Linked DNA regions of Canis lupus familiaris. The protein of the gene in region 1 interacts with the protein of each later gene in a pairwise test. Links are inferred from orthologs where the notes say so. Each region holds a gene or a part of one and is shown in the gene's direction. Other genes may lie near its edges.

Region 1 (4,510 bases):
ATGGCCTCCAGCCTTGACCTGTGGAATCCGGCACACGTGGGTTTGCATCCAGGCGCTGAGACTCTGAGCAAGGCACATACCTCTGAGCTTGTGTGAACATCTGTAAGGTTGGGTTTACAGGTGTAACATTTGCACAGCATCCCTGAGAGGTGGCTGTGAGAGAACGGACCCATGGAAAGTGCTTTGCCTGGTTACCTGGTACTCAGTGGCCATTCAAAAAAAAAAAAAAAATGCTGGCTACTCGTTCCGACTGCGGGAACTGGGGATATCTTGTGCACTGGTGTGCCCTCCCTCCACCAACCCCCGCTCAGGGTTGCACATATTGCACGAGGCCTTATTATTCCCATGTTACAGATGAGGACACGGAGGCTCAGAGAGGCCAATGGATTTGCCCAAGATCCCATGGATGAGAGGCTGAGCCACCTCTCATCGGCGTGGTGGTGGTGGTGGTGGTGGGGTGGTGGGGTGGTGGCAGGAAACTTGTGCGCCTCGCCCTCCTCCAGCAAAGTCCTCAAAGCCCCTCACCAGCGGGGTCTCCTCTTCTGTCTCCCGGAGGCCCAGCCGCAGGAGGCTCAGGTCCACCTCCAGGGAGCCATTGGCGTAGAAGCCGAAGCTGTTCAGCGGGATCTCGGCTCGCTTCTCCCCCTGCCGGAGACCAAGGAGGCAGAGGCAGCTCAGACCTCTCCCCACCAGCCCAGCCCCACGGCTCTGGCGCGAGGTGGCAACAGGGTGGCCCCAGCTCCTCCAGCCGCTGCTCTGCGAGTCCAGGAAGGGAAAGCCCAGGGGCACCTGGAAGTCTGGGCAGCGGGTGAGCACCACCCCAAAAGCGGAGTTCTTCATCTTGGTGTGCGGAGCCCCGACCCCCCAGACAAGTGTGAGCTTCCAAGATCCCAGCGAGTGCCCAGGGGACCCGGTTCTACGAGCCCCGGGGACTCCCCCAGGGCCCCAGCGCCCCAGAGCGACCCCGAGGATGCACACACAGGACTAAAAGTTGGGGCTCCCGGGGGGGGTGAAGTCCTACCCCCTAGTGGGTGGGGCACGACCCTAGCGGGGGCGGCCCCGCAGCCCCAAGCGGGGACCGAGGGGGACTCCTCGGACGAGACCACTCGGGGCCTGGAAGCGGGGGGGCGGCGGACCGCTCCATCCCGCGTAAGCAGAGGGGGAGGTAGGACGAGACCACTCCAAACCAGGGGCTTCTTGGGGACAGAACTGCGCCCCCCGCCGCCGCCCGCCGCGCGGAGGGACTCACCGTCAGCGCCAGCCGGTGGATGCGCCCAGAGCAGCTGTCCAGGAGCAGCAGCAGCAGTAGCCGCTGCCCCCACTCCGCGGGGCTCCGGCGGGCGAGCCCCCTCCTCTCGCTCACTGCCATCTCTGGAGCCGCCGCCTCCCCCGACACCGCCTCTGACGCCCCCACCCGCCGACGGGTGAGCCAATCGCCGCACGGCGGGGGCCGTCCCTCCGGCGGGTCCCGCGCGTCTAGCCAATCAGCCACCGCTTCCTCGGAAATCCGCACCGTCCCCCTCGCACGACGCCAGATGGACATCGCCAGCTCCGAATGGGCCGCCTCCGCCGTCACCAATCACTAGGGAGACTGTGCTGATGCAATTGGCTCAACAGTCCACCTAACCAGTGCTGCTGGACCCGATATCCCGCCCCTGAAGCGGAATTCCTCCACCCACGCCCAACTGAAGATCGGTCCAGGACTACATTACCCAGAATGCAGGAAGACCAGACAGCGCAACAGGGCACGCAAAAACTACATTTCCCAATGTCCCTCAGGACGGACTTCCCCTCTTTACCCTGGGGAGGTGGCTCCCAGCCAGAGCACAGGCTTTTGGTAAACACGCACGTCTGCCGAGGCCTGTCCTGTTCTAATCTTGCTGATCCAGGAAGGCCGAAACCTAGCCCCAGGCTCAATCTTGACCCTAGGATGACCTATGACCCTGGGCTGAATTCCAGCCTTAGGCGGAGACTCTTCTAACCCTAGAGTGAGGCAACTAGAAACCCACCCACAGATCCCAAGCTGGAGGTGTCCACGGGGACGGGGGCTGAACCGGGCTGAGTCCTTAGCTGCAACTGAGCCCGGACATCAACCTGAAATCCAGACTTCCCCACTCCCTTCCGACCCTCGACCTACGCTGAGCCTGAGCGTTAATCTCTGGTTGAGCCCTCCCAACCTGGACGGAGCCCTGACCCCAGACGAGGCCTGACCGCTGGACCGTAGTTTGTGGCCACGACCCCCTAGTGGGTTGCTGACCCCTCCGCTAAGCTGACCCCAGGTTGAGATCCTATCCCAACTGTGGTGCCGACTTGGAACGAATCCCAATTCCAATTTGAGTTTGATGCCAGTGTGGAGACTCTAATACCAGGCTAAGCGGCTGAGAGCAGAACTCACGCTGAGCCCCTGACTCAGCTGGTCCCCCAAACCCTGGAGCACAGCCCACTTTGCAACAGGATGTTTTCTAGCTCAGAAGCCACCAGCAGGTGGGGCCAGGTCCCCACAGAGCCATCTGTCCCAGGATTTCAGGCTGATGTCCCCTGGGCTCCTGGGGCTCCCCTCCTGGAAGCCCAGAAGCTTGGGGCCTAACTTGTGCCCCAGGGGCTCCGGGGCGTCTGTCACCTCCGTTGGCACTAAGGACTAAAGGCAGGAGAGGATGAGGGTGGGAGCTGCAGGGTTCTCTACCCTTTCATCTCAGTGCCTTAAGGAGATTAATGAGGTGTGAACAGGCATTTATGAGGGAAGTGACAGACTTCTGTGCCCCCAGGGCCCGAGTGTCTGGAGGGAGAGGTGGAGTCGGAACCGGGGTCTGGACAGTGAAACCTGATTGGGTCTAAACGGATGCGCCTGGAAAATGGGCAGGTGGAAGCGCGAACTGGATGAGGACCGAGGAAAGACCTGGGCCCGGTGCCCCAAGGACAGCCCGTCCTCAGTTTCCCGGCGCAGACTTCGGGAGGAGGGAGAAGGCAGGATGCGGTGGGGGTGCTAATGGACCGGGCCTTGGCGGAGGCACGCGTTCTGGGCAGGATCGAAGTCCTCCCATCCGCCCTGTGGCCGGAGGGAACCAGACCATTAGTGGGCCGAGCATAGATGTCTGGAGCCGGGCCGGCCCGCAAGAGCGGGGTGACCTCAGGTTCTCCCAGCGACGGCGGGGGGGGGGGGGGGGGGGGGGGGGGGGGGTGCGGGAAGGGGTGGCTGGTGGTGGGGGAAGGACCTCTCGGGTTGGGGTTTTAATGTCTTGGTCCCTCTAAGGAATGGTTGAAGGAAAGAGAAAACAACAGTCCCAGGCGACTTAGGGGTGGGGAGGATAAGAGGGGTCCGGGGGATTTGGGAAATGGATGGGGGTCCTTTAAGGGGTCGGTCCAGTGGCGTCTAGTGGCAACTTTCCTTTAAGAGGGGGCGGGGCGTCCGTTGGGCCCCGCCTCCTCGGGGGTCCCGCCTTTAGGGCGCTGTTCGGGCCTCCGCGCAGATGGGGGCGTGGCAGGGCCTGCGGGGGCGGGGCCGGGCCTGGGGGGGCGGGGCCTGGCGGGCTGGGCCGGGCGCGCCGCTCCAGGCTGAGTCTCCCGGCGGCGGGCGGCGGGCGGCGGGCGGCGGGGACCGGGCGCGGCGGCGGCGGCGGCTTCGGCGGGAGCAGCATGGATTGGGGCACCGAGCTGTGGGTGAGTCCGATCGGCCCGGCTTCCAAGTTTCTCCTTTTCTGGAGTTCAGACCCCCCCTCCTTTGCTCCTGCACGACCTTAGCGGGGGCTCGGCGCTTTCCCCTTCGGAGACCCCCGGAGTCCCCGCTTTCCGCCCTCCCTCGGAGTTGCCCAGGGCGTTTCAGGACGCCCGGGGCGAAGGGCGACCTTGCAGCCGCCGAGTCGGGAAACTGAGCGCGGGGTTCCGAGTGAGGAGGGCAGGAGTCCTGGGACCAGGCCGGGGCGGCCGGGCGAGGTCACCTATTTTGAGCACCCTGGCTGGGCCGGCGGCTTATCTTACGGCCCCTGGGTCCCTGCCCGCAGCCCGCCTGTCCGGCTTGGGCGGGGGAGGGGACCCTGTGGCCACTTCCAAGCCCACGTGGGACCTGGAAGTTCTGACCGCCTTTCGGAGGCTCCAATCAACACCTTGGGGCTTGGGTCGCGCTAGGGGGGAGGGGGCTGCGAGGCTTGGCCTCGCAGCCCCCTCCCCCATCCCGCCCCAGGCACTGGGAGGGGCCGCCCCCAGGCTGCTTCTGACCTCTGCTCTGGAAGCCCCAGAAATTTCCCCTTATTCTAGCCAGGACCTCTGACCCCTCCTTTTTATGGGGGCGGTGGCATCCCTGGGTTCCTGGATGCAGAGGGGGTAACCAGATTCCTTCCCCCACAACTCTGGAATTTCTTTCGGAGGTGCAGTGGGGTCAGTGGGGGAAACGGAGTCACGTGTGTGCGGGGGACCCCGGGAAGCATGGCGACCCGGGGAACATGGTGCCTGGCCCCTGGACATTCTGGGGCCCCCCGAGCTGCGGCGAATCCTGCCCCTCTGGTCCTGACTCACG
Region 2 (4,371 bases), on another chromosome or scaffold:
TCAAGTAATCCTCAAACTGAGTTAAAACTCCCAACAAAGCAAAGGCTGGGCAAGACCATACGGCTGTCTCTCCCCCTCCCACTCTCCCTGGGGTCCCTAATGCCGAAGGGGTCCAGGGGTTCAGAGTAAGGAGACCCTACTGTTTCCTAAGGTCCTTTTTTTTTTTTTTTTTTTTTGGTAGATTTAATTTATTCATGAGAGACAGAGAGAGAGGCAGAGACACAGGCAGAGGGAGAAGCAGGCTCTGTGCAGGGAGCTGGATGCGGAACTGGATCCCAGGACCCTGGGATCATGCCCTGAGCTGAAGGCAGACATTCAACCACTGAGTCATCCAGGTGCTCCCCTAAAGTCCCTCATTTTGTATTAACTAACAGTTATGAAGCACCTAGTGTATGCCCAACTGTGTTTTGGGTGGAGGGCCAAGAATCACTACCACTGAGTCTGGGGGCTCAGAGCAGCACTCACCTCACTGTCTTACAAGAGGAAGGGCAAGGATTCACAAAGTCTGCTGGAACGAGAGGCTTTAAGGACGGGGGAGAGAACTGTGCTGGGGCTGGGAAGGAGCTGGATGTCAGGGAGCTGCTCTGGAGGGTGGGGCACCCCCCCCCTTAAAGGGACAACGGGAACAGGCAAGGTTATCTTGTCCGCTCTCCAGGATGGGCAGTTCAGTTGGCCCATCAGACCATTAAAGAGCAAGTCCAGAGTTCTAGTGCCTTGTCCAAGGGCACAAAGCAACACAGTGGCCCCAGGAAGCCGAAGTCCTGGCCAGTCTCCAAAGTCTCCAGTAGGGGAACAGGCAGGGGTCATCTCTAGCTCGAGGTGGCCAGGAGGTCCTTCGGAGAGGAGCCCAGGGCAGCACCCTTCGGCAGGCCCGGGTGCGCCGGCGCGGGCCGGAGAGGCCTGCGGGGCCCTCTTTACCTTTAAGAGGGGTGCGGGACCGAAACCCCGGGCCGGGGGCTGGCGTGGGGCGGAGCCCAGAGTCCGGCCGCGAGGTGGCAGGAGCCGGCTTACCTGCTTCCCGCCACCGGGCGGGGCGGGGCCGGGGGCGGGGCCGGGGGCGGGGCCGCCACCAACCTGTGGACCGCCCGACGAGTCGCGGGGACCGGCCGGGGACCGCGGGGGGCCCGGAAGCCGGGGGCGAGCGAGCAAACAAACTTGGAGAGAGGAGTGACCTGGGGGCCGGGGGCGGAGTCGCCGCGGAGGGGGCGGGAGCGAGCGGCCGCCCGAGCGCCGCCGGCCCAGGAAGCGGAGAGCGCCGCCCACCCATCCGGGGCGAGCGCGGCGCTGCGGGCGCAGGCAGGCTGGGCCGGGGGCTGCCGGGCCCTCGCCCCCCACCGTGACCCCGCGGCCCCCCGCCCGCGCCCAAGATGATGAAGAGGCAGCTGCATCGCATGCGGCAGCTGGCCCAGACGGGCAGCTTGGGACGGTGAGTGTCAACCCTCTCCCTCCCCGCCCCACACTCACCCCCGCCGGACCCTAGCGGCCGTCGAGGGGCGGGGAGGCTGGGGACGGCGGGACAGACACCCTCGGACCGGCCAGAGCCCTGCCGTCGCTCCCCCGCCTCCGAGAGCCACCCCCACGCCCGGCCAGAGCGGGAGGGGCAAGGCCCTTTGGGGAAGGGGGCACCCCCAGCCCTCTGCGTGCAGGGAGGATCAGGGATGCTGGGTCTTCTCGGCCTCCATGAGCCTCTTGAGCGAACGGTCCTTCCTGGCCTCACTTGTCCCCTCTGTACAATGGGGACAGCTAACCATCTCTGGTCGCCTGGAGTGGGGGCGATCGGGGGCAATTGGGGGCGATCGGGCCCCAAACCTTGGGGGAGGAGAGGAGACTAGGTCCCTGTGGTGGGAGGAGGGGCCTCTTGTCCTGCTTTGTGCCTCTCCCCCTCCACCCCACCCCCAGCCCAGAGGCCTCCAGCTTCTCTATCTTGCTTCTGCTTTTCCCAGCCTCAGGTGGAAACATCCCCAGGTCTCTGTTCTCACCAGCTGGCCCCCAGAGCCGGTGGAGTGGAGGCCAGAAGTTTGGGGAGCTCCCAAGGCCTGTCTTCTCTCCTCTTCCCTCTGTGTTGGGAGTTTCCCATTCTCTTGGCCCAGGGGAGGGGACTGAGAGTCCAAAGGCCTGGCTCTAGTCTCCCACCGCATGGATGCCTATGTGAGCCTCGGCAGTCAGGCGCCCTTGCTCTGGGCTTCAGTGTCCCCAAGTGTCCCTGAACAGGGGTTCAGGGCTTGCACACCACTGCAGTCCTGACTCCTGCATGACTGACAGCCCAGGAGTCTGAGCTCGCACACTTCCCGTTCTTGGGGCCTGCCTGGCCTCCTCTCCCCAGGGTCAGCAGAAGAGGCTGGGGTGGCTTCCCAACCTCACCGCCTTGGGTTTCATCCACCCTCTCTCAGGACACAGCCCTGGGTGGAGGAGGAAAAAGCCTCGTATCCTATTCCCGCCCCCATGGAATGTGCTCCGACTGGGATGAGGCTGACAGGCAGGCCACCCAGGGCGGGCCCCAAGAGGAGGGGCCCTGGAAGCAACAGGGGTCCAGGTGCCCTGCTGAGGGGGCAGGGGGAGGCAGGGGGTTTCCTAACCTGGGCGGCCTCAGCAGAAGCTCCTCCCTCCCCCACAGCACCCCGGAGACAGAGACGGCTGAGTTCCTTGGGGAGGACCTGCAGCAGGTACATGCCTGGGCCGGCAGCGGGTGGCAAGGCAGGCCTGTGCAAGCTGTTAGCAGAGGGCCGCGTGAGGACGCCATTTGGGGGACCCGGTTGAGTCATCCCCCAAGCTGTTGGCCATGGTCTCCAGGAGGAGGGAAGAGAAAAGTGGCTCCTGCTCGGGGAAAGAATGGGGCAGTGGGGGGCAGGGGGCAACCACCTCCTATGATCCATAAACCCCGACCCCCTCTCCAGGTAGAGCAGCGCCTGGAGCCGGCCAAGCGAGCAGCCCACAATGTCCACAAACGGCTGCAGGCCTGTCTGCAGGGCCAGAGCGGGGCGGACATGGACAAGCGGGTGGTGAGTGGGGGTCCCAGGGAGTTGGGGCCTGGACAGGACACCTCTGCCCAGTGGGGGAGTGAGGGCAGGGCTGGGGTCTCCCTGCCCATCTGAGTCTCTGGCTCTGAGGGGGTGGGGCCTGCATTGTCCCAAGACCCTTCAGGCACCCCAGTGACACGGCTGTATCTCTTCCCCACCCCCTTCTTGACCCTGGTCCCATCTGCACGGACTCCCCTGAGGCAGAGCCAGGCCTCCTACAGCACCTGAACTTCTCTGTCTGGTCAGCCCCAGAGCGGACCAGAGCAGGCCTCTGAACTGAGGCCGTGTGGGAGGGCTTCCTGAAGGAAGTGGCATTTGGGCTGATATTAATACTCACCGGTATCAATCCACAGCGAGCATTTGTAGACCGGTGACTGCTAGTCTGTTGCTCAGCTGTGTCAACGTGTTGTCTCACTTACCGCTGACGACACCCCTAGGAGGAGGCTGCCCTCATTAGCACTTTGTACAGATGAGGAAATGGACACCAGGAGGTGAAGTCTCAAGGTCACACGACTAATAAGTGGCAGAACTGAGATTTAATCCCTGGTCTTTCTGACCCAAGCTGGTGCTCTTCGTAACTTGTAGGTGGGAGGGTTTTGAGTTCAGCAGTGACTAAGGCCAAGCCACAGATTCCCCTGGGGCAGGGGAACAGCCCCACTCCCAGGGAGCTCCTAGCGCCTCTGTCCTCCTTCCAGCTGTGTGAACTCGGGCAAGCTCCATGCCCCCTCTTCTTAGTTTTCTGGTGTGGGAGGGTACTTGGTCATCCCTTCGTGCTCAGTGGATTCGTTTCTGGGAGGCGAAAAGGGCACCCCAGATGGGACGGGGTGGGGGACATGGTCACAGGGAGATGTCGCTCAGCCATGCCTGGTCATCATCCTGTCTCCACTCCCACCTAAGACTGTGGCCATCTTGGCTTCCCTGCTCCCCTGTCCATGCTCAGTGCCTCAGTGGGGCTCCGTCCCCGAGGAACTGTCTACATGCTTGGGTGGGGTGGAGGGAGACCCAGCAGGTGCTCACAGCCCGGCCTGCCCTTCCTGCAGAAGAAGCTCCCCCTCATGGCTCTGTCCACCACGATGGCCGAGAGCTTCAAGGAGCTGGACCCCGATTCCAGCATGGGGTGAGCACAGACAGGGCCCCGTCCCTCACCCAGAGATGCCAAAGGGGGATCTGAGCTGGGAGGGGGTCCAGGTGTGGAAGGGCGTCCACAACGGGAGGATGACCAGGCTGAGGGTCGTGTCTGCGCCGGGGGGCAGTGTCCAGGTCAGAGAGGGCGGCCAGGTCTGGGAGGGTGTTTGTTTTTTTTTTTATTTTTTTTTTTTTAAATTTTTTTTTTTTTTAATTTTTACTTATTTAT

What was found.
Region 2: the proteins of TRIP10 (region 1) and SH3BP1 interact in binary tests that used the Homo sapiens proteins (3 or more experiments, as listed by UniProt). The two-hybrid records come from large-scale screens. The link is inferred for Canis lupus familiaris from reciprocal best matches to the Homo sapiens genes TRIP10 and SH3BP1.

Annotation. Positions count from the first base shown.
Region 1 is NC_049241.1:53,950,732-53,955,241, reverse strand, and holds the start of TRIP10 (cdc42-interacting protein 4), read left to right. Parts: upstream 1-1,697; 5' UTR 1,698-1,717; coding exon 1,718-1,837; intron 1,838-3,557; exon of another isoform or gene 3,558-3,633; coding exon of another isoform or gene 3,634-3,657; intron 3,658-4,510. UniProt on the Homo sapiens protein: Required for translocation of GLUT4 to the plasma membrane in response to insulin signaling. Required to coordinate membrane tubulation with reorganization of the actin cytoskeleton during endocytosis.
Region 2 is NC_049231.1:27,963,660-27,968,030, reverse strand, and holds the start of SH3BP1 (SH3 domain-binding protein 1), read left to right. Parts: upstream 1-1,367; coding exon 1,368-1,426; intron 1,427-1,897; exon of another isoform or gene 1,898-2,140; coding exon of another isoform or gene 2,141-2,148; intron 2,149-2,614; coding exon 2,615-2,663; intron 2,664-2,894; coding exon 2,895-2,999; intron 3,000-4,057; coding exon 4,058-4,134; intron 4,135-4,371. UniProt on the Homo sapiens protein: GTPase activating protein (GAP) which specifically converts GTP-bound Rho-type GTPases including RAC1 and CDC42 in their inactive GDP-bound form.